Linked DNA regions of Drosophila melanogaster. The protein of the gene in region 4 purifies or fractionates together with the protein of the main gene of each other region. This does not show direct contact. Each region holds a gene or a part of one and is shown on either strand. Other genes may lie near its edges.

Region 1 (3,345 bases), on a different chromosome or scaffold from region 4:
TCTGCTCAACAAGTGGGTACCACCGGAAAATTCCCATATCCTTTAACAACCTATAACATCTTTCAGAAAAGTCCTATCCGACCTCGCCATTTGGGAGCCGCGATCTTTTGAAGCTCTAGTAAAGATCTCTCGAGAGCGGGCAGCTGTGGAGGGAATGCCAGACATCAAACGGAGATCGGCATTTAACCAGGTCTATGGACTGAGCAACCTGAAGTTGGATTAACATAGCCTTAAGTAGGAGTTCAAATATAGATATTTGTATGTTTTAAACGTGTAATCTTTAATTTTCACTTTGAAGGGAGTAAAATCGTTTGGGATTTGTTCTTTAGATTAGTTTTTAACTCCGAATTCGTATTTACATTTAGTTACATAATTCGTAACTTCTGCTTGCTGAATGAAATTTGATACTAAATCATTAATTTATTTACTGCAACTACCTTTTCCGCGAATGAATCCAATATTTTTTCGAGTAAAATGACAAATGTGATTAATGACAAAACACCTGTGCTGCTAGTTTTAACAAGTAACTCGAAATTTATTCAATGACGGTCCATGCGCAATGCAAACAAAAATATTGCATGAGCTTTTATTGTAGTTTTTAGTTTCGGGTTTGTGGGTGTGTTACATACTAATAAAAAGCATAGAATTCATAGAATTGTGAGACAGTGTCCGGAGGCGAGATCTACTCCAATTTGGCCAGGATGTCGGACTCGCGGAAGAGGAACAGCTCCTTCTGGTCACCCTCTAGGTTCACCTTGGTGCCACCGAATTCGGGCAGCAGAACACGATCGCCCTCCTTCACGCCAATGGGAATGTGGTTGCCAGTGGACTGCGGATGAAGTGGGATGTTCAGTGATTAGATGACCATCTCTGCATTGATAATGGCGAAATACTCACGGCATTACGGGTGCCAGGGCCTACGGCCAGAACGGTGCCCTCAAGTACTTTGCCCACCGCTTTCTCCGGCAAAACAATGCCTCCTTTCGTCTTGGTCAGCGCCTCGGCACGCTGGATTAGGATGCGGTCCAGCATGGGGATGATCTTCTTGATAGCGGCGGCCTGAGGATCATTAAAAAAGACCCAACAATTAACCCATGTTTCAATGTTTCATGTTTCTCTCATTGATTACACAACAGCCCGGCGAATGGGATGTGGACCGAAAGCCGTGGAACCTTCTCGAAAAACCGATATCATCCTTCGATTTCAAACTGTCTTCTAAACCTCATATGGGGCAATGCACTTTTAACTTACCATTTTAATTCTTAAATGCAAACTGGAGCGGTTGATAAAAGTTAATGAGTGAACTTTTTACTCAACTACACGTGCCGGCGTAACTATTCTCGCTAGATGCGGGACTGCTTATCGTCGGTGTGACCAGGCTATTTCACGGATATAACATTGAGAAATAATTTTTTCTGTTCGAATACACTGAGAGAAGTCAATGCAAAAATTAATAGTTGTGTATAACTTTTAAAATGGTAATAAACTTTTCGCCAAGTAATTGCCGAGTTGATTTCCTATAAAACATGAAGATGAAAATGAGTCTGGTGGGTGGACTTCCATAATAACTTGTATACCAATTTCAGGAATTACTCCTTTTATATGCAATTTAAACATATTAATTTAATTTCCATTAATTTATAATAAACATGTTGTGCAATTTTCTGTTCTCATCTTTGTTGAGCTAAATAATCGTTTTTTAAGAAATTAAATCAGAAGCCCAGAAATCTTCTGGGCTTTACTGGTGTTTTAATTTTTTCAAATTTACTAATATTAAAATATAATATAATATAAAATAAACATAAAACAGAATTGTTTGTTTACTTCCTCGAAATTAGGTATGTTCAAACCAAGGAGTTGCTATTGATACTAGCGATTTAAATCGATTGACTCTGGCAGCGGATTGTTCACACTACACCCTGTTGCAAAGTGCAAGACAATAAAGACAAGCAACAAAATAATTGAAAAGTGTGGCATTCCTGAGAAAAATTAAAAAATTTCAGAATTTTCTAAACATCTTGTTTTTAAGAAGGGAAAATAGCACGAAACAACTATCGATAGCTGCTGACACTCCCACCACTAAATCTGATTGGGAGATTTATTTGAGTCACCGTTTTGCCTTGTTTACATTTAATGTAATTTGTACCAGATAAATCTTATTTGATTTTACTCAAGTCAAGTGGCACGATGTGCTTTTGTTGTTCACTTAGTTTACAGTTTGTGACTGCTATTTTCGTTTAGTTATATTCGCCAATAAGCCAGCAATTAACCCACTAAAATGTCTGATCGTCGTGGCACAAAAGTTGGAACTGGTACGAAGGCTTTGGAGTATTGGTGCCGAGTTGTGACCCAAGGATATAATGGGGTCAAGGTGGAGAACATGACCACTTCCTGGCGAAATGGACTTGCCTTCTGCGCCATAATACACCACTTTCGGCCGGATCTTATAGATTTCGACCGACTTAAAGCAGACGATATCTATGAGAACAACGATTTGGCCTTTACAACGGCCGAGAAATATTTGGGAATTCCCGCACTGCTCGATGCAGCTGACATGGTTTCGTATGAAGTACCTGATAGACTCTCCATACTAACGTATTTATCCCAGTTTTACAAGGTGCTCGGCAAGAGCCTGAAGCACCCGAAGCCAGAGGAGCCACTTGGCGAAGAGAGTGAGCCACCGCAAAAGGTGATGCACATTGTTGGGATGCCTCGACGTGATAAGTGCCAGAAATGCAACCTTCCTGTTTTTCTCGCCGAAAGGGTCCTTGTCGGCAAACGGGCTTATCATCGCACATGCTTAAAATGTGCAAGATGTTCGTCATTGCTCACACCCGGGAGTTTTTATGAAACGGAGGTCAATAACATATACTGTTGCGAGACTTGTCCCGATGAAGAAAGTGAACCGGAATCTGACATTTTAAAGTTAAAGACAACCACTACTGATTCTCCGAATGATAAACAAATGGTGGCACAAAGTTCTGATTACTCTGAAGCTGAAGATAAACAAGAAGACCTGGAAGATAATGATATACGTACTACTGATAAGCCTGAAAACTTCCAACCGCCGTCCAACAAAGATGAACAAAATAATGAACTAACTATTAATCCGGTAAACCCTATATTATCAGAGGAGCGTAAAATCTCTTTTATTCCACTAGACGAAGAAGATGGTGGCCTTATTGAACAATATAATAAATCAACAACTCCTGTAAAGCCCGCTATACCAGAGAAACCAAAAGTCTCTACTCTTCCACTAGACGATGAACAACATGCTGGCGTTGAACAAAACAATGATCTGGCGGTTAGTCCGGAAAATGACATTCCAAAAGAGAAACTTAAGAT
Region 2 (4,454 bases), on a different chromosome or scaffold from region 4:
GCTGGCGGCACATACGGCGAGTAACGTTTAATCTTCTGAAAGCAGTGGATCACGGCGTTGGGCTGCAGCGTTCGGTTGAGGGTGTCTGCGTCCTCCAGCACGCGTCCGTGGTGGATGATCTCTGCAAGTGCGCAGCAAATGACTTGACACAATAGAGACAATGGACAGCGATTTGAATCCCGAGGGTCACTCACCCAACTCGCTGGCGTCGAATTGCAAGTGCATCTCTTTGGTCACCACCGCCTTTAGGTAGGCCACATCCCGCGTCAGATCGATGTTGTGTAGGGGATGCACATCGCTCAGCTTGTTCTTCAGAAGCGCGTACACGGTATGCATAGTGCGTTGATGTAGAATCTGCGTAATATTTGTAATTCACTATTTTGTCTGGGTGATTTTGTTTTGTTCAAAGACAGTTCGGAACTGGTTCCAACGAACCGCCTTGAACACAGGGTGACCCTTACATGCCCCGATAGCCCGAACCAGACTGATCGGGTCGACCGACGATTTAAAAAAGGCTAAAAAAGCTAGATCTAAAAATACCGCTCTAGGATTGCTGTCGAATTTTCAACATAAGTGTTCATTTGTTGACAATAAGAAAACGTAACTTTTGCTATTGTTTTTGTTTTACCTTGTTCAAGTCATTTCATTTAAAATGTACTGTTTTTAAAGCCATTGAAATTCAAGGTGACCCAAAATAAAACCCTCAATCCCTATCGACCTATCGATTTTTGACAGTTTCCGCTCCAAATATGTTAAATATACGAGTTGTAAAATGACCTCCCAAGAAACGCAGACTGAGGGTGAACGTAGGAGGGTAACTCTTCCATCTTCGACACCAGATAAAGGTACACCATCCAAAAAAGGCAGCGAGGAGCCCAACCGAATTTCGAACACAGAGTTCCAAAAAAGAGTAACATCGGACAGAAGCGATGAGCCGGTCTTCAGCTGCCAATTCGAAGTGTTCGGCATTGTGCAAGGTAGGGTATTCACAAATCGTATAGTCGCAATAATTAGTTATCTGGCACCAACAGGCGTTTCATTTCGAATGGTAAGAGCTTGCTGGGAAATGGGATCTTCAAAACCCCTTTGAGCTATGGATTTTCTGCTACCTCTTATTGTATATGTGAAATCTCTTTACTGTAATCCAATTACCATGTTTTAGTACACCTTGCGAAGAGCTCAAAAGCTGGGAGTCCGGGGTTGGTGCAAAAACACCAACGAGAATACGGTGAAGGGCGAAATTCAAGCACACCGACATTCCTTTGAGTCCATGTGAGTGATTTTTTCCATTCAACGTTTAATTATCAAGCCGTTCTTTTACAGGCGCCTCTGGCTAAAGCACACCGGCAGCCCCACCAGTCGAATTGACAAATGCATTTTCAGTGAGACTACAGAACTTTCAGAATTCACGTTCACTAACTTCTCCATAGTGGTGGATTAGTTGTTCTCTAAAAGCTTAAAATCATTTAGAAACGGAATTGAATTTTTCTTACACACACTTATACAGTATTTGGATATGAGCTACAAATTTTTCTATTGTTATAATATTAAATCTAACTAAAATGCAAATAAATTAGTCCGATATTTTATAGTAAACGAGCCTTAAACCATTTATGGTAAGTACATTTATTTTTAAATTCGATTGTTTTGTTAAACAAATATCGACTAGTAAGACCGCGCTTTGCAAAAGGCAGAATCTCATTGGATTGGGTGAGATAAGTGGGCCGGTGACTGGGTCGTAGCTTCTTGTTTAATTTCAATTCAATCCTCGAAGCAACAGGTTGTGCCGCATCTTTTCCATTTAATCTGTTACTCAAGTCTGTTTTAGTGTACAAGTTATCAAAAATCAATACAAAATGGTCAACACCAAGTTCTTAACGTTCAACAATGGAGAGAAGATGCCCGTGATTGGCATCGGCACCTGGCAGGTATTTATAATCACGTTAATTCTGTAATTTCATAGATTGCTTGTAAGTGGTTAAATGGATAGTAGATATTCGAATCTTAATACTATTGTTTCAACTTATTAATGACCTCAACAAATCGCTGACACGTCATTTAAATCTCTTGAAATTCCGATTCCGATGCAATCAACAATTTGGTTGGTGCTGGGGGACTTTAGACCGGTTTTCAAAAACAAACAATAAACCACCATTCATATCCACTGGTGGACTGGACTTTCTCTGGTCACGGGAGAATAAATATCGTTGTAAATCGAGTTTGAAGATTTTCGGGTAGTGTAGATTATGCAAATCCTATAATCAATATATATACAATACCACTAAACCGCACTTTCATCACCACAATGCAGGCATCTGATGAGGAAATCGAAACCGCCATCGATGCGGCTTTGGAAGCTGGGTATCGCCACATAGATACGGCGCCAGTCTACGGCAATGAGAAGGCCATCGGAAGAGTCCTAAAGCGTTGGCTGGACGCCGGCAAGGTCAAGCGGGAGGAGCTGTTCATTGTGACCAAGGTGCCACCCGTTTGTAAGTAGCATTTAGTAGTTGGATGGTATTTCAAAATGCCATATAAACATTTATAAATAGTTCCTATGTTCTATGCCCACAGAATCTTAAGATCCATAGAAACCAAAGCATTTTACACCAGCTACCAATATTCTTTTTGATATCTAGTTGATAAAATAAGACTAGGAACGTGATTTTAAAACACCAACATAGACTCCTTCAGTGTTCATAATTTCAATTTAAAAACATTTTTATTATCACCACATGACTCTTTGATATGATAAATGAACCTGATGTGAATGACTATAAATATAGCTGTGAGAGTTTTCACTATTACGAGTCCAGTTATTTCAAAAATAATATAATAATAATATAATCCTTGTTTTAGCCAACCGCCCCCACGAAGTTGAGCCAACCATCAAAAAGTCACTGGAAGATCTGCAACTGGACTATGTGGACTTATATTTGGTGCACACTCCCTTCACAATTAATATCAACGAGGACGGAAGCTTTAAGGTAGTTGTGCTACGGAATCTAATCCCAACTCCTATACACATCTCGAGCATTAACTTTCAGCTCGACAAGGAGGGCCTAATGGAGGTCGACGTTACCACGAACCACGCAGCCATCTGGGTTGCTATGGAGGCCCTGGTGGAGAAGGGTCTCACCAAGTCCATTGGGGTATCCAACTTCAGCAAGGATCAGGTGGCCCGTCTGTTGAAGAACTGCAAGATCCGGCCGGCCAACAACCAGATTGAGCACCACGTTTATTTGCAGCAGCGAGATCTGGTCGACTTCTGCAAGTCCGAAAACATTACCGTAACTGCCTACTCCCCGTTGGGATCCAAGGGAATCGCCAAGTTTAATGCTGGAGCGGGCATCGTGAGAGATCTGCCGGACCTGATGGACATCCCTGAGGTGAAGGAGATTGCCGCAAGCCATGGCAAGACGCCAGCGCAGGTCCTCCTCCGCTGGATTATCGACACTGGTGTATCCGCCATTCCCAAGAGCACGAATCCCGCTCGCCTTAAACAGAATCTGGACGTCTTCGATTTCGAACTGACGGCCGAGGAGGTGGCCAAGTTGTCTAGCCTGGACCAGAATATTCGAATCTGTGACTTTGCATTCTTCCATGGGTATAAAAATATGACTTAGCTTTAATCCCTCTATTTTATTTATTTATTTATTTTTATTTTGTTTACAGTGTGGAAAGGCATCCTGAGTTTACCTTCAAGAATCAGTACACGAACTAAACGGCATAGCTATATAAAAAGAATTCAAATGAACGCAGTAAATTCTTTTCCAAAACATTACTTTGTGTCGAAAGTATAGAAAAGCAACCATTTATTTTGTAACAGTTATAAAAAAAGTAATTACTCGCAATTCGGTCATTATACACAGATAAAATGTAGTTATGATATTTATATACAAATTCTTTACTGGTTTTCTTTGGTATTCAACAGTTGAAATGTCTTGGTTTTCGTTACGATTTTCAGCTCAACAGGTTTTCCCTCTATGACAGACTTTCCATCCGTGTTATCGTTCGTTTTTATTATACTGTCGTTAACAGTTTCGTTGACCCTTCGAGGAATCGAGCTGGAAAACCACTTTCAAATTCAAAAAAGCTTGCATTCAGCGGTAGTTAGTTAGTACAGAAATATATTTGCAAGACATTTTGTATCTAAGTTTAAACACATCACAATTTTACATTAAGCAATTAGTAGCGAGCACGATATCGGTACTTGAAGGCTTTGGAAATGTTTCGCGACTACAAATAATTCGAGGTACATTTTGTATGTAAGAACACTAAGATCGATAGAATAGATATTAAGGAGCGCTTGCTGCATAGACGGAATATTGAATAATATCATAAAAATCAATGTTCGCAAAGCGGTAAGATTAGCAACTGAGAAACGAACAACAATAGTTAAAGGAAGCTCCAGCCTATGTCTAGGTTATGATATTCGGGCCAATCTCATTTTG
Region 3 (4,695 bases), on a different chromosome or scaffold from region 4:
ATTCAAACTGAGTGGCGGGAGACTTACGAAATGGAAATCCATAATTTTAGGAGTATGAGTTGGTTTGGCTATTTATGGCTCTACTTGATAAATTTAGCGGGCGGAAATCTTTAGGTATCTATTGTGGCAAAAAGGTTGGTTTTTTTTTATTGAATATGTTACGGTTTCGATTTTCTGCAGAACGCAGGAAATATATTTTCAATAGTGAGCCAAAAATTCATGTATGCTTTGGGCTGCAAAAAGTATCTGCTTTCACTGCAGATAAGATACACCACTAAATTAAATACAAGTTACAGCTGCGGCTAAAACAATATTTTGCCATGTTATGAATATCGTGATATTACAATCAGACATTAGCTAATATCTAAAATGAACATTTAGATGCCGTAATAAAAACGTAAGATTAATAATTTTGCATAAAATTTTATTAGAACACATACAAGCAAGCGGCTATTATGCTGACCGCAATTGTGCGTACAATACACACTCCATGCTGATAACTCCCACGCCACTCCAGAAAAATCACCGATGGAATTGTTTTGCAGCTGTTTTAATAATAAAGTGAATTACTGAGAGCATTTTGCTTGTTTGCTTCGCGAACACATTCAGATGTTTTGTTATAATTAAAAGTAATTACTGATACAGGGCACCACAGCATCGCAGGCGCTGTGCTAGTGGCTTCTCGAATAACAATTTCAATTTCCAAATACATACGCGCTTTTAATAATATACTCGAAACTGGTTGCGGTTGCTCTCCCCTCTTCCAGAGGGAAAGGCAATATTTGTGACTGCGTTTTGTTTGACTTCCATAGCTTAGCTTAAATTCTAATTAAGTGTTCAATTGAAACTCTTGTGATGCTGCTCGCTGGCTGGCTGGATGGCAGGCCTGTTGTTCCATTCTATTACGTTCTGGTCTGGTTTCGGCTTTTTCCTGGCTGCTTCGATTGCTGTGCTTTCGTTTACTTTCATGGTTATTGTTCTGTTCCGGTTTTCCGTTTCGTTCATCTCGGGTGGCGTGCTCTAGCTCAATTAAATTTCTTGGAAGGCCGTTCAGCTTTTAACAACACACTTTTCCGCTTCCGAGCTTCGAAATCTCCCAGGGCCACAAGCTTCAGCTTTACTTAGCGGGCGAGGAGCCACCATAGAATGGCTCCTCCCACTTGTGGTGCACCTCCGGCGTCAGGTGGCTAATCTGCACGTGCACGGCCTGGTGCTTCTCATACTTGGGCGGAATGGCGCACAGACGGTATTTGACCTCGTCCCCGGGCATGGGCACATATTCACCTTCGATGCTGTGGGAAGATTACATTTTTGTAGGTCTTACAGAGCCAGCGCAAAGGTCGCCGCGCATGCAATATTCATTCACTTACTCGGAAACGTGGCAAAAAACGTCCTCTCCGCCGGCGTTGGGTGTAATGAAGCCGTGTCCTTTGGTGCGGCTGAAGGATTTCACCATACCGGTCACAACCGGATTTTCCAAGGCCCGAGCGGAGCTATGTTTTTTCAGCGTTATTTTGAGTTTGCGCGTGTTTGCGTTTTGGCAGCGTTTGGGAAAAGAATTAAGCAGGAAGAGACAAGTTAATCAATGGAGGATGCGCATGGGGATATGAGGGGGAAGAATTTAAGTACGTGGATTATGTTCGAAAGGGTTCCGAGAGCTTATAAATTCGGCAGCGACTGATTTCTGAATGTATGTATGTATGTACAATGAAATAATTGAAAAAGTATGGGGTTTACAAATTTAAACTTTCAAAAAAAATGGTCCTTACGGTTATAAAAATATTTATAAGTATATACACATAAAAATAAATATATTAAATGTAAATGTGGAACCAATAAAGTGTTCCATGTTCGATTACTAATTACTGTTTGTTTCATTATGTTTGCTCATCTAATTCAACAAATGCAGTTTAAAACATTATAGAAAGCTTTTGCTTTAGAAATTACAAGCTTCCATGCTATTCTTTTACTATTTCAAAAGGTTGTATTTGGTTTTCATACAAAAGAGCGAACCTTGTGAAATAATGTGAACTTTCGGCGCCTATTTGGCCCCATAAAGGCTCTGCATAGGGGCCAAGTTCCCCTTGGGGTCAAGTGTGTGTGGGGCCAGTAGTGGGTGGGTGGTTTTGCTGGTTGGGTGGGCAGGGCAGTGCAGGAGGACTTACGTCGAGGCCGTGCGAGTGCGCCTCGTGATGATGGGACTGGGCAGCTGCAGCGAGGCATTGGGACTATGGCTGTTGTGGTGTAAAACCGGCGGCTTGGCGGCCAGCAGCTTCTCGGGCGTCCTTGGTTCGGTCATGGCTTTCTTACACTGCTCGTTTACTTGCCGATTTATGCGTTCTTCCCCTTTCTTCGCTCTTTTCCTCTCCTCTCTTCAGACAGTAGAAGCGGCTTGCGCGTGTGTATATATGTGCGTATGTGTGTTTGTGGGTGAGTGGACGGCAGCCAAGTCTGTCGAGTTCAAGGCCACGGGGGGCGGGTTAGTCAGTCAGCAAATTGCGTTGCACTTAATTCACGTGTACTCGGTCAGCTTACCGACAACTTCACGCCCTCTTTCCTAGCACCTTGATAATTGGCAATCCAAAAATCCTGGCTTAGCTTCTTTTTTTTTTGCGAAACACCCACACACTGATGCAAATTTTACCGCTGTGCGAAACGCCGGTTGCCAATGTTATTTGTACCCCCTAAATCAGTCCTGCGCGGTATGACTTTTATCAACTTTGGAATCTGGGATTTTTTTAAACTTTTTTATCAATTATTACACCGGCTTGATGCGCGCTTTTTAAGAATTTCAGTTTTTTAACGAATGGCGGCGGAGGCGTCAAAGTCAGACCTCAGAGTGAACGTTTTGGAATGTTCCAGAAATCCCAAAACCTATCGCTTAGCCTAATTGGCAATCGATGTTTATAGCAACATGAATAAAATTTGAAAATCAAATTTAACGAACAAACAGGATTAATTACAAGTTACTCCAACTTGTTGGTAGAATAAATAGATGTGAAAATTTAATTGAAAGCATTTATAATTATTTTAAACAATTAAAAAATTGCATTTTCCGCACAAACACTCAACTCTTATATAGATTCTTTTTTTATATGCTTGATATACGAAAAAAATGTGTTCAGACTAATATGTTGTCCACACTAACAATGAATATTTAAATATATTTATTTACATGTAGTACTCGATAGTTTCACCCCGTTGTTCCATCACTAAAGCATCTCGATCTTGACCATCCCTAGCTTGAAATTTAGCGTCCTATTGCAGGAAAGTCGCGAAATAGATAAAATAATAACAAGAACTTTCATGTTTTCCAAGAGGAAAACTTGATTGAGACCATATATAGGTGAAACGGACAGCGAAGGTTTCGCAAAAGGCGACAGCGCCGTGGATCCGGAAATATACTCATCGGGCAGCAGGGAATGCGATCAGTCTGAAGCGAGAAAGCGGAATTCAGACATCCTGCTGCAAGGAATGGAGAATGAAACCGAAGCTCTTGATCCGGAAGTTTATGCCGATGAGACCTCTACAGATGATAGCTCTGGTGATGATGAGGTAATCCTCAATCCAGTTGAAGGTCTGCAGCCGGCGGTTGAGATTGATGAACAACGTGACCAGCCTGGTGAGAACGCGGAACCCGAGCAACCGAGAGTTCCGCCTTTAATTCTGGTAGATCCTCCGCATTTGCCCAGTCCCCCGAGAAATTCCCGCCGCAATCAAGGCGAAGAGCAGGAGGTGATCTCATTAGAAACGCCATCACCGCCCAAGAAACGTAAACGTCTCTCCGCTGCTGCCGATAAAAGCCTTAAAAAGTCGCCCGAGGGCAAACCAATAGTTGTAGATGACGAGGACGATGGCATGACCTGTCCCATTTGTCTGGATTCCTGGGAGATGAGTGGCGAGCATCGACTGGTCTCGCTGCGATGTGGTCACCTCTTTGGGGAAAGCTGCATTCGGCGGTGGTTAAACGAAAGCCATCGCCAATCTTCTGTGAAGGTGTGCCCGCAGTGCAAGACGAAGGCCACATTTAGAGATATCCGTCATCTGTATGCGAAGCGCATTCAGATGCTGGACACGGATATTAGGGAGCAGCTGGAGGCGGAGCGGCGGCGTACACATACTCTAACAACAGAGCTGGCTACCGCGAAGCTGGCTAACACACTCACCACTGAGAAGCTGATTCTCCTGCAGAAGGACTACGAACGGCTTAAGGAGCTGGTGAGGGCAGGTGGTGGTCGGGGAGCCTTCGGAGGCGATGCATCCGGCCAGAAGAGCATTCAACAACTAGCCACCTACCGATTGTACATGGAGAAGAACTTCGAGATAACTCGAGATCCCGGCTGCCGTGTATTGCTCTATTCCGCCAAGCACTCCATGCTGGTGGCCTCGCAAAAGAGTGCCCAAAACCTGTTCCCCGGCTACGGCGTACGCTTTATTGATCCACCTACCTTCAAGCCCCTGCAATTCCTGCACACCTCGGCACTCCTAATCCGGGACATTGCTTTTAGTGACTCACAGCACTTGCTCACTGTGGCCAGTCGGGAACTAAAGATCAAGATATTCGACATAAGAACACGGCTTTGCTCGTCTATGTTCACCGCTCATGACAAGATGCTGTGGTCTTGCGCCCTGGATCGCAACGAGCGCGAACACTTTCTATACGGCGGAGATCTGCGAGGTGGAGTTTATATCTAC
Region 4 (6,941 bases):
AGACGATAGAATAAATAAAAAAAAATCGTGTGCAAAAATATCGTATGGCGTTACGCATCTTGTTATTCTAGTGTCTTTGATTTAAGCAAATATTTGTATATTTACCACGAATCAAGAGTTCATACTTCCCGTATTACAACCATTTGTGTTTCTTTTATTGTTTGAGAGTTTTCCGCCCCCGAAGAAAGCAAAAGTCGGTGCAGTTTTAGTACGTTTTTGTTATAAAATGTTACATTTATGTTTTTTTTTTATTTTTCCCAGTATAAATATATCGTATGTAAAGTATATAAAAAAAAGTTCATTAAAAAATTACACATACTCTTTATATAGATGCTTTTCTACCGTATTTCTTTTTGTTTTTCTGTTTTATACGCTTCATACGTTTTGCGTGTCTTTTAAAAAGTATTTCTCATATATTTGCTGTCTTTTCTTGTGTAAATGTTCTGAGTGAGTTGGCTGTCGTATTGCTTTGTATCTGCGTTTTATTCTTCCTCCGATGATGATGTGTGTGTTTGTCGTGTGTTTTGGAAACATTTATGCACAAATATATATGGGATAGACGAATGTTTATTTTATGTTAATTACGCTGTAGGAATGAGACTGGCTCTCTTGCTTGTTAATACAAAAAATATATATATATATGTGTAAAAATATTGCAAAAAAAAAAAAAACGGACAACCGAAATACGATAATAGTAAAATACTTTTGCTATCACGCGCATGCGCAGCGGTTCGAATAACTTGGTAGCAGTTGAAAAATGAGAGGGAATAGCTTTATACGTATAAAGAGTGAGATGCGGCGAGTCGAAAAAGAGAGATGGGGTGACTGAGGATCGGATCGGATCGGATCTCAGATCTCGGATCTCGGATCGGAGTGGACCACATTGGAGCCCCCATTTTAAGCCTGCTTCTCGGCCTCGATCACCTCCTTGGTGGGCAGCACGTTCTTCTCATTGGTCTCGGTGTGCTTCAACTTTTTCGCATCAAAGTTCTCGATGCCGGCGATGAACTGATTCTTCTCCTTCTCCTGCTCGATGGCTGCAATTTGAGGTTGAGAAATAGAGAAATAACAACACAATTATAGAGCCTGCATTGGCCATCTAAGGCAGGCTGCCTTTTATGGCCGGACCATATGTATGTACAATATGCAACATACTAGATGGCCTACAATGAACGCACCTTCCTTATCGGGCAACGGGTTCTTCTCGTTGGTCTCCGTGTGCTTCAAGTTGTTCTGATTGAAAGCGGTGATGCCCTCGAAGATCGACTGTTGGGTCTTCTCGGCAGCCACATCTGTGAGTCAGGGGGATTAGATTTCGGTGTTCATGGTTTCGGCCTTTCACCAACCAACAATAGCCAACTCACCTTCGGCGGTGGGAAGAATGATCTTCTCCTGGGTGCTAGCGTTCTTCAGTTTGTCCTGGTTGAATCCCTCCAACTGGCTTTTCAGGTTCTCGGCCACCTTGGGCAGATCCTTGAGTGCTGGTGCTGGGGCGGCCATCTGAACACATAAAGTTTTTTGATGAATTTTAAATTACTTGCCTTGATAGTAAACGTATCTATTCTTTGGGATCATTTATTTTTCTTGTAGCTTTAATTGCTGATCGATCACTAGTTAAGATCTTCGTTTCAGTTTGCTGACACAACCAATTGATATGGGAATTATGATAGTGGTTTCACCTTAGATAGCAAAGTCTTAAAGAATATTGATACTAAATTAATAGTTCATGGGAAAAAGGAATTTAAGGAATACAACAAACGAAGCATACAAAAAGTTACTGTTACAATTACTGTTTGGCTTGGATCGCCTTTTTGTTACCTTATTAACAATTGAAAAGCAAACGAATTCCCTATGTAAACATTTCAAGTTAGAAACAACAAATCCAATTGGAGCCAAGCCGGAAGAGGATATCGATGTTATTGGTGAGAAAGGGGAAGCCAACTTTCCGATTGACAATTTGTTGCTCTTCACTGTTTGCTTTTGTTGATACTGTGTTGCGCCTTAATAAATAATTCATTTTCTTTAAACAGAAACGTAATATCTCTTTGTTGACCGTTGATTTCTCAAGCGATAGCCATGTGGAGAAATGTGGGGCGATAACGATGACTCAAAGGCACGCACACACTCACACACACACAGGCGCAGCAAGGACGAGTCATGCTAGTGTGTGTTCCTATCAGAAGGAGGGAGAAAGAAAGAGGAAACGGTCCGGAGCGGAGAGAGCGAGGAGTTCAGCGAACCTTTCCAACTGGAAACAGATTAAGACTCCAATTCGCTTTGCTGCCGTTCTTGGCCTTTGTTTTTTAGCACTGGCATTCTTATCAGAAGACATGTGTACTTGGTCGAGCGGTTAAACTGCATTTTATCACGTTTATTTTTAGTTGCGAAATTCGAGTGTGCGTGCCACATAGCATGCCCCCCGAGTTCCAATCAGAGTTGCGCCGGACAAAGAATCCTCTTTGTGCACCGATATCTTATTGGTATCAAGTCATCAGTCGGATTGGGACTGCATTGCATTCGATGGAACAGCTGCGCTAAAATGCAATCGGTACAAGGGCAGCGACCGCACCAAAAGCAAAACGGAGAAGAAGCAGAGAAGCGGAGAAAAGGCATCGCGAATCTATATATTTATTTATTTGCACATTTATGGCCATAAATGGTCGGAAAGCTGCGCCTCAAGCGGCTGGCCAATCACGTTGATTGACTAACTGACTAACGGCCGCCGATTTTCCCGCTCTCCCCACTTCCACTTCCCCTGGCGCAAAATCGTATCGTAGTCCGCTCGGTTCATGCAGCACTTTTATCACGAATCTAGGCCTGACTTGCTGCAATCCCACAAATATTCCTTACTCCGATACAAATACTATGACCAATCCAAAAATCAATTGATTTGCAGTAAGTGATGATGATTAATTCAACATTATTTGGCCCGCCAATCTTTGTTCTGATAATGCTGCTGAATTGCTCACAATTCTTTATCGGTACCAAAATAACAGCAATGAGCCAATAATGAGAAAACGGCAACTGAACAATAAAGATTCAATATGTAAACTCATTGGGAAACTATTCCTATACGTAGATCGATGGTGTTTTAGATCGCTCCGTTTAAAGTTCGATTAATTGGTCATCGTGTAAACGAGTGTCTTATTAGTCAGCTCCTTGCACCGAACAAAGGAGAGGCCAACAACAACAACAACGTCGCATACATACAAAGTGGGAGCTATGGCGATTCGGGGCGGCGAGGGGGTGATTTTCACGGGGGTGGGGGCAATGAAGTTCGCCGTGAATCAACTTCCAACTTCGAAATTCGAAATATGGTCGTCCCGCTTAAAAGCCGTTGATGAATCACCGCACATTGCATACATCCAAACATAGATATGTACGTACATATGTGCATATGTTTGCTGGTGAATTTATCGTTGCCCACACAGCTGTGCTTCTTCTTCGCCCGACTTTGTAAGCTTTTCTTTTGCTTTCTTTCTTCCTGTTTTGGTTAATTCCCTAACAGATATACATACATATGTAAATCTTTTGGCTCTTTTCGGGGGTGTGAGTGAGACGGCGCCAAGAGACCGTTAAAAACAAAAGACACTGAAATTTTTTTGGGAATAAGAATATGAATATGCACATTTACACGTACATACGTACTTAACAGACTTACATACATATGTATGTAAAATAAAATGAGTCAAAGCCGCTGATGCGTGGCAAACAGCCGACGAACGGAGTGCAAAAAGGAGGCGAGAAGAAAGGGTGGAGAGAGCGCAAAGCAAAGGAGCTGGAGCGCCGGAGAGATGGGGAAATGAGAAATGACAGACACGTCCGCTTTGCATTTACACCCTCATCTCCTGCAGAAATGCACAAGTGTGTGTGTGTGTGTAGCTAGTGATAGACAATGAGAAAGAGAGGGGGGTAGACAGAACGAAAGGGAGGCGCAATCGGCGACTTGCAATGAATTTTAAGCACTTTGTTGTTGCGCACATTATATACACATTTTATGCAGGCGGCTGCGTTTAGTCATATATTCAATTTCAAAATCGCTGGATATTGGATATCCAAGTGACACAGCACCACGCCCAGCACAATTCGCCACTCGCCAGCACACACATCGCACAGTCGAGGTCGCACAGATAGTGACTTCATCCTTGTGAAATGTGCATATGTACATCTATCCCATCTTTCTATCTTTCCCAGTTCACTTTTCGTTGCCAATTCGCCAGCAAGAAGTGCTCGAACTTAGTTGTTTAAAAAATGGCTCTACTTTGGAGTAGCGAGAGTTTCGCCAACGCCTCTTTAACAATTCAAATTCCAAGTTCCTCGACTGCAATATTTGTAGTCTGCGATACCCAAGGCACTAAATGAATTAATTAATTTGCAGGACACTTTTCTCGTGCCGCTCACTGTGGGGGAGGATATTGGGCAGAGACACACATGCGCCCCGCCCAAGTACCCACACATATGCACATGCACATGCATACACACAGCGGCAAGCAGACGGCGGAAAAAAAAGAAGTTAAAAATGCCGGCCGGCACTCGCACACACACACGCGCAAATCTAAAGTTTGAGCCACACAAAAAAAAAACAAAAAATAATAGTCAACAAAAGGGGCGACGACAAAAGCGCTTCAACAGCTGCGGAAAAAAGTTACAAAGTAGCAGAAAAGAAATGGAAACGAGGAGAAAGATGAAAAAGTAACGGACTAGACAAGCACAATAAATATTTATAACAAATCCGCTGCCATTTTCGCAATCAACGAAGAAGCGCAGTCAACAAAAACCAGTTAGGATTCCCCATTACCCCCACCGCATCTTACAATGGCAAAAACGAAATTACCGGCGATCCCCCAAACTTAACGAAATCAACGAAAATTGACAAAAATAAAAATTTCAATCTGCAAGTAGAAATGAAACTCACCTTGATTTAGTTTTTTTTTTGGATTGGCGAAGCGGACTACTAAGCTGGGATGCTGGCGGGGTCGGCCTGATATATGTTTCTATGTATAGCTGTACACTTGGCGAAGCTGGGCCTTCGATGGTGGCGAAGCGGAGCTCTTGACGTCACAAATTTAATACTGGCGCTCGGCGGTGAGCGCCGCTTTTTATACGGCCGCGATACTATCGCGTTTGCGTGGCTGTGTCATTTTTGCTGGGCGGTTGCACGGTCACACTGGGCCTGGGTGGTATTATTATATATGGTCACACTGCGAATTTGGCACAGTCCATTTAGTGGAGACACGAACCACGCCTAGCTGATACAACCACCATGTATCAACCAACACATTCACTGTGAATTAGACACGATTCATTTAGCAGAGACACGAACCACATCTAGCTGATACAAACACCATGCAAAAGCGCGGCAATTTTAAACTTTGCTCAAATGCAAGCCAATCATTTATTTTAAGTTTTTTATTCGCTTTCCTATGTTAATCAACTTTATATTGCATTCAAAGGTATCAGACCACACATACGTTATCCGACATTTGCACATAATCTCTATATATACGAATTGAATCAACTGCTTTATCATTACGCTTACAATTAGAATTGAATTACTCTTGCGATCTTGCACTATTAGCACCAGCTGCTTGGTTTAAAGTCTCACTGAACGGTTGAGGTATCATCCACTGCTCCTAATATACTTTATAAGGCTGTTGTCTAGGTGCTGTCTCGTTCGTATATATGTACAATCTGCAGCGCTCTTCAGTCCTGCCTGTTCTTGCTGCTACGCGTAATTGGCGGATCGGCACTCGTTCCATACCCGCGTCATCTCCTCGGGATCGCCGAATTCGTGCGAGGCTATCACCGAACTATAGCTGTCCGGACCTTTGTACGCCGGCCGATGGAAGCGGAAGTCGTCGCAGTGCTGAAGGGAAATGCCCGCTTTCAAGGCCACTATGCCCAGGTAGACGTCGTCGAACCGGAAGAGCGGCAGGTGAACGCTGGCGGCATACAGCTGGCGCAGTGCCTTCTGCGACAGAATGAACGCGCCGGCGGTCACGTACGGTGGCCACCGATCGAAGGGGTATTCCTCCAACGAAACGTACCACTTGCTGAACTTGTGGCGGAGCGGGGATGTCTGAAACACGTGCCCGGCGAACAGCAACTCCGGCTGGTGGCTCTGACGCCCCCTGCCCAGAAACTTGAGCACGTTCTTGGCCGAAACATAGTAGTCGTCGTCCACGAAAAGATAGAACTCGCTGCGATTGAACTGATCGCTAGCCCAGCGCATACCCAGCATGGTTTTCAGCGTGTTGTTGAAGTAGGCGTCCGTGAACTCCGCCTGCAGAATGTCGCCATGCTCGCGGGACTCCCAAGCCACGTCTTTCTCACTATCCTCGGCCGTGCCCAGCAGGAACACGCGACGCAGATGGACGTCTGAGAATCGACCCTCGTAGCCCCAAGTCCGGCGAATGGCCTCCCGACGTCGCGAATTGCCCACCGCGCTCTTTATGAGCATCGTGAGCCGCGCAGGCTGGTCAACCGGCACCTCTGCCGTGAACGAGGGCACTCGCAGGTAGGCGAACTTGTCCAGTCCAGAGGATGCGGACCCAGATCCAGTGTCATCGTTCAGCGGGTAGTGAAAGTGCCGCTCGAAGTTCAGCTCGTGCAGGTGGGTCAGCAGGCCGCAATAGTCCACCAGAAGGATGAGGGGCAGCACCAGGAGGCAGCGCAGCAGCAGTTTGCGGTGTTTACTTTGCATGGCGACCAAAATAAAAACAAATCCGCCAGTGTGACCGTGATGCGGTTAAAATACTAAACGCCCATCTACCGTACGAAAAATAAAATAACTAAGACTAAAAGCATTCAAATTGAGTGCTTACAAATCTAAAAAATTGTTTTACAGTTGAATGAGAAGTGTGACATTGATTTATTTATATGTAAAAGAAAAAAACTCTTTTCACGTATTTTTACATTTCCGCCAATAACAGTTATTTTCT

The links.
Region 1: the proteins of cib (region 4) and CG11267 purify together in Drosophila melanogaster (affinity purification with mass spectrometry, with the first as the bait; one large-scale study listed by BioGRID). This does not show direct contact.
Region 2: the proteins of cib (region 4) and CG2767 purify together in Drosophila melanogaster (affinity purification with mass spectrometry, with the first as the bait; one large-scale study listed by BioGRID). This does not show direct contact.
Region 3: the proteins of cib (region 4) and CG9705 purify together in Drosophila melanogaster (affinity purification with mass spectrometry, with the first as the bait; one large-scale study listed by BioGRID). This does not show direct contact.

What each region holds. Positions count from the first base shown.
Region 1 is NT_037436.4:13,014,071-13,017,415, reverse strand, and holds CG11267 (uncharacterized protein), read right to left. Parts: upstream 1,367-3,345; 5' UTR 1,255-1,366; coding exon 1,252-1,254; intron 1,060-1,251; coding exon 898-1,059; intron 830-897; coding exon 683-829; 3' UTR 513-682; downstream 1-512. Other genes in the region: mRpL20 (mitochondrial ribosomal protein L20), read left to right, coding at 1-12, 67-223; MICAL-like, read left to right, coding at 2,279-3,345.
Region 2 is NT_033777.3:8,005,370-8,009,823, reverse strand, and holds CG2767 (uncharacterized protein), read left to right. Parts: upstream 1-1,713; 5' UTR 1,714-1,856; coding exon 1,857-1,928; intron 1,929-2,311; coding exon 2,312-2,492; intron 2,493-2,859; coding exon 2,860-2,987; intron 2,988-3,047; coding exon 3,048-3,607; intron 3,608-3,675; coding exon 3,676-3,724; 3' UTR 3,725-3,900; downstream 3,901-4,454. Other genes in the region: CG3223 (uncharacterized protein), read right to left, coding at 1-121, 195-336; CG11052 (uncharacterized protein), read left to right, coding at 773-977, 1,032-1,048, 1,163-1,272, 1,324-1,441; CG2698 (uncharacterized protein), read right to left, coding at 3,908-4,067.
Region 3 is NT_037436.4:16,778,261-16,782,955, reverse strand, and holds CG9705 (uncharacterized protein), read right to left. Parts: upstream 2,857-4,695; 5' UTR 2,536-2,856; exon of another isoform or gene 2,452-2,535; 5' UTR 2,300-2,451; coding exon 2,166-2,299; intron 1,494-2,165; coding exon 1,371-1,493; intron 1,293-1,370; coding exon 1,118-1,292; 3' UTR 537-1,117; downstream 1-536. Other genes in the region: mus302 (mutagen-sensitive 302), read left to right, coding at 3,475-4,695.
Region 4 is NC_004354.4:4,104,248-4,111,188, reverse strand, and holds cib (ciboulot), read right to left. Parts: upstream 5,077-6,941; 5' UTR 4,916-5,076; intron 4,355-4,915; exon of another isoform or gene 4,262-4,354; intron 2,241-4,261; exon of another isoform or gene 1,819-2,240; intron 1,695-1,818; exon of another isoform or gene 1,680-1,694; intron 1,501-1,679; coding exon 1,365-1,500; intron 1,293-1,364; coding exon 1,179-1,292; intron 1,038-1,178; coding exon 898-1,037; 3' UTR 553-897; downstream 1-552. Other genes in the region: brn (brainiac), read right to left, coding at 5,726-6,703.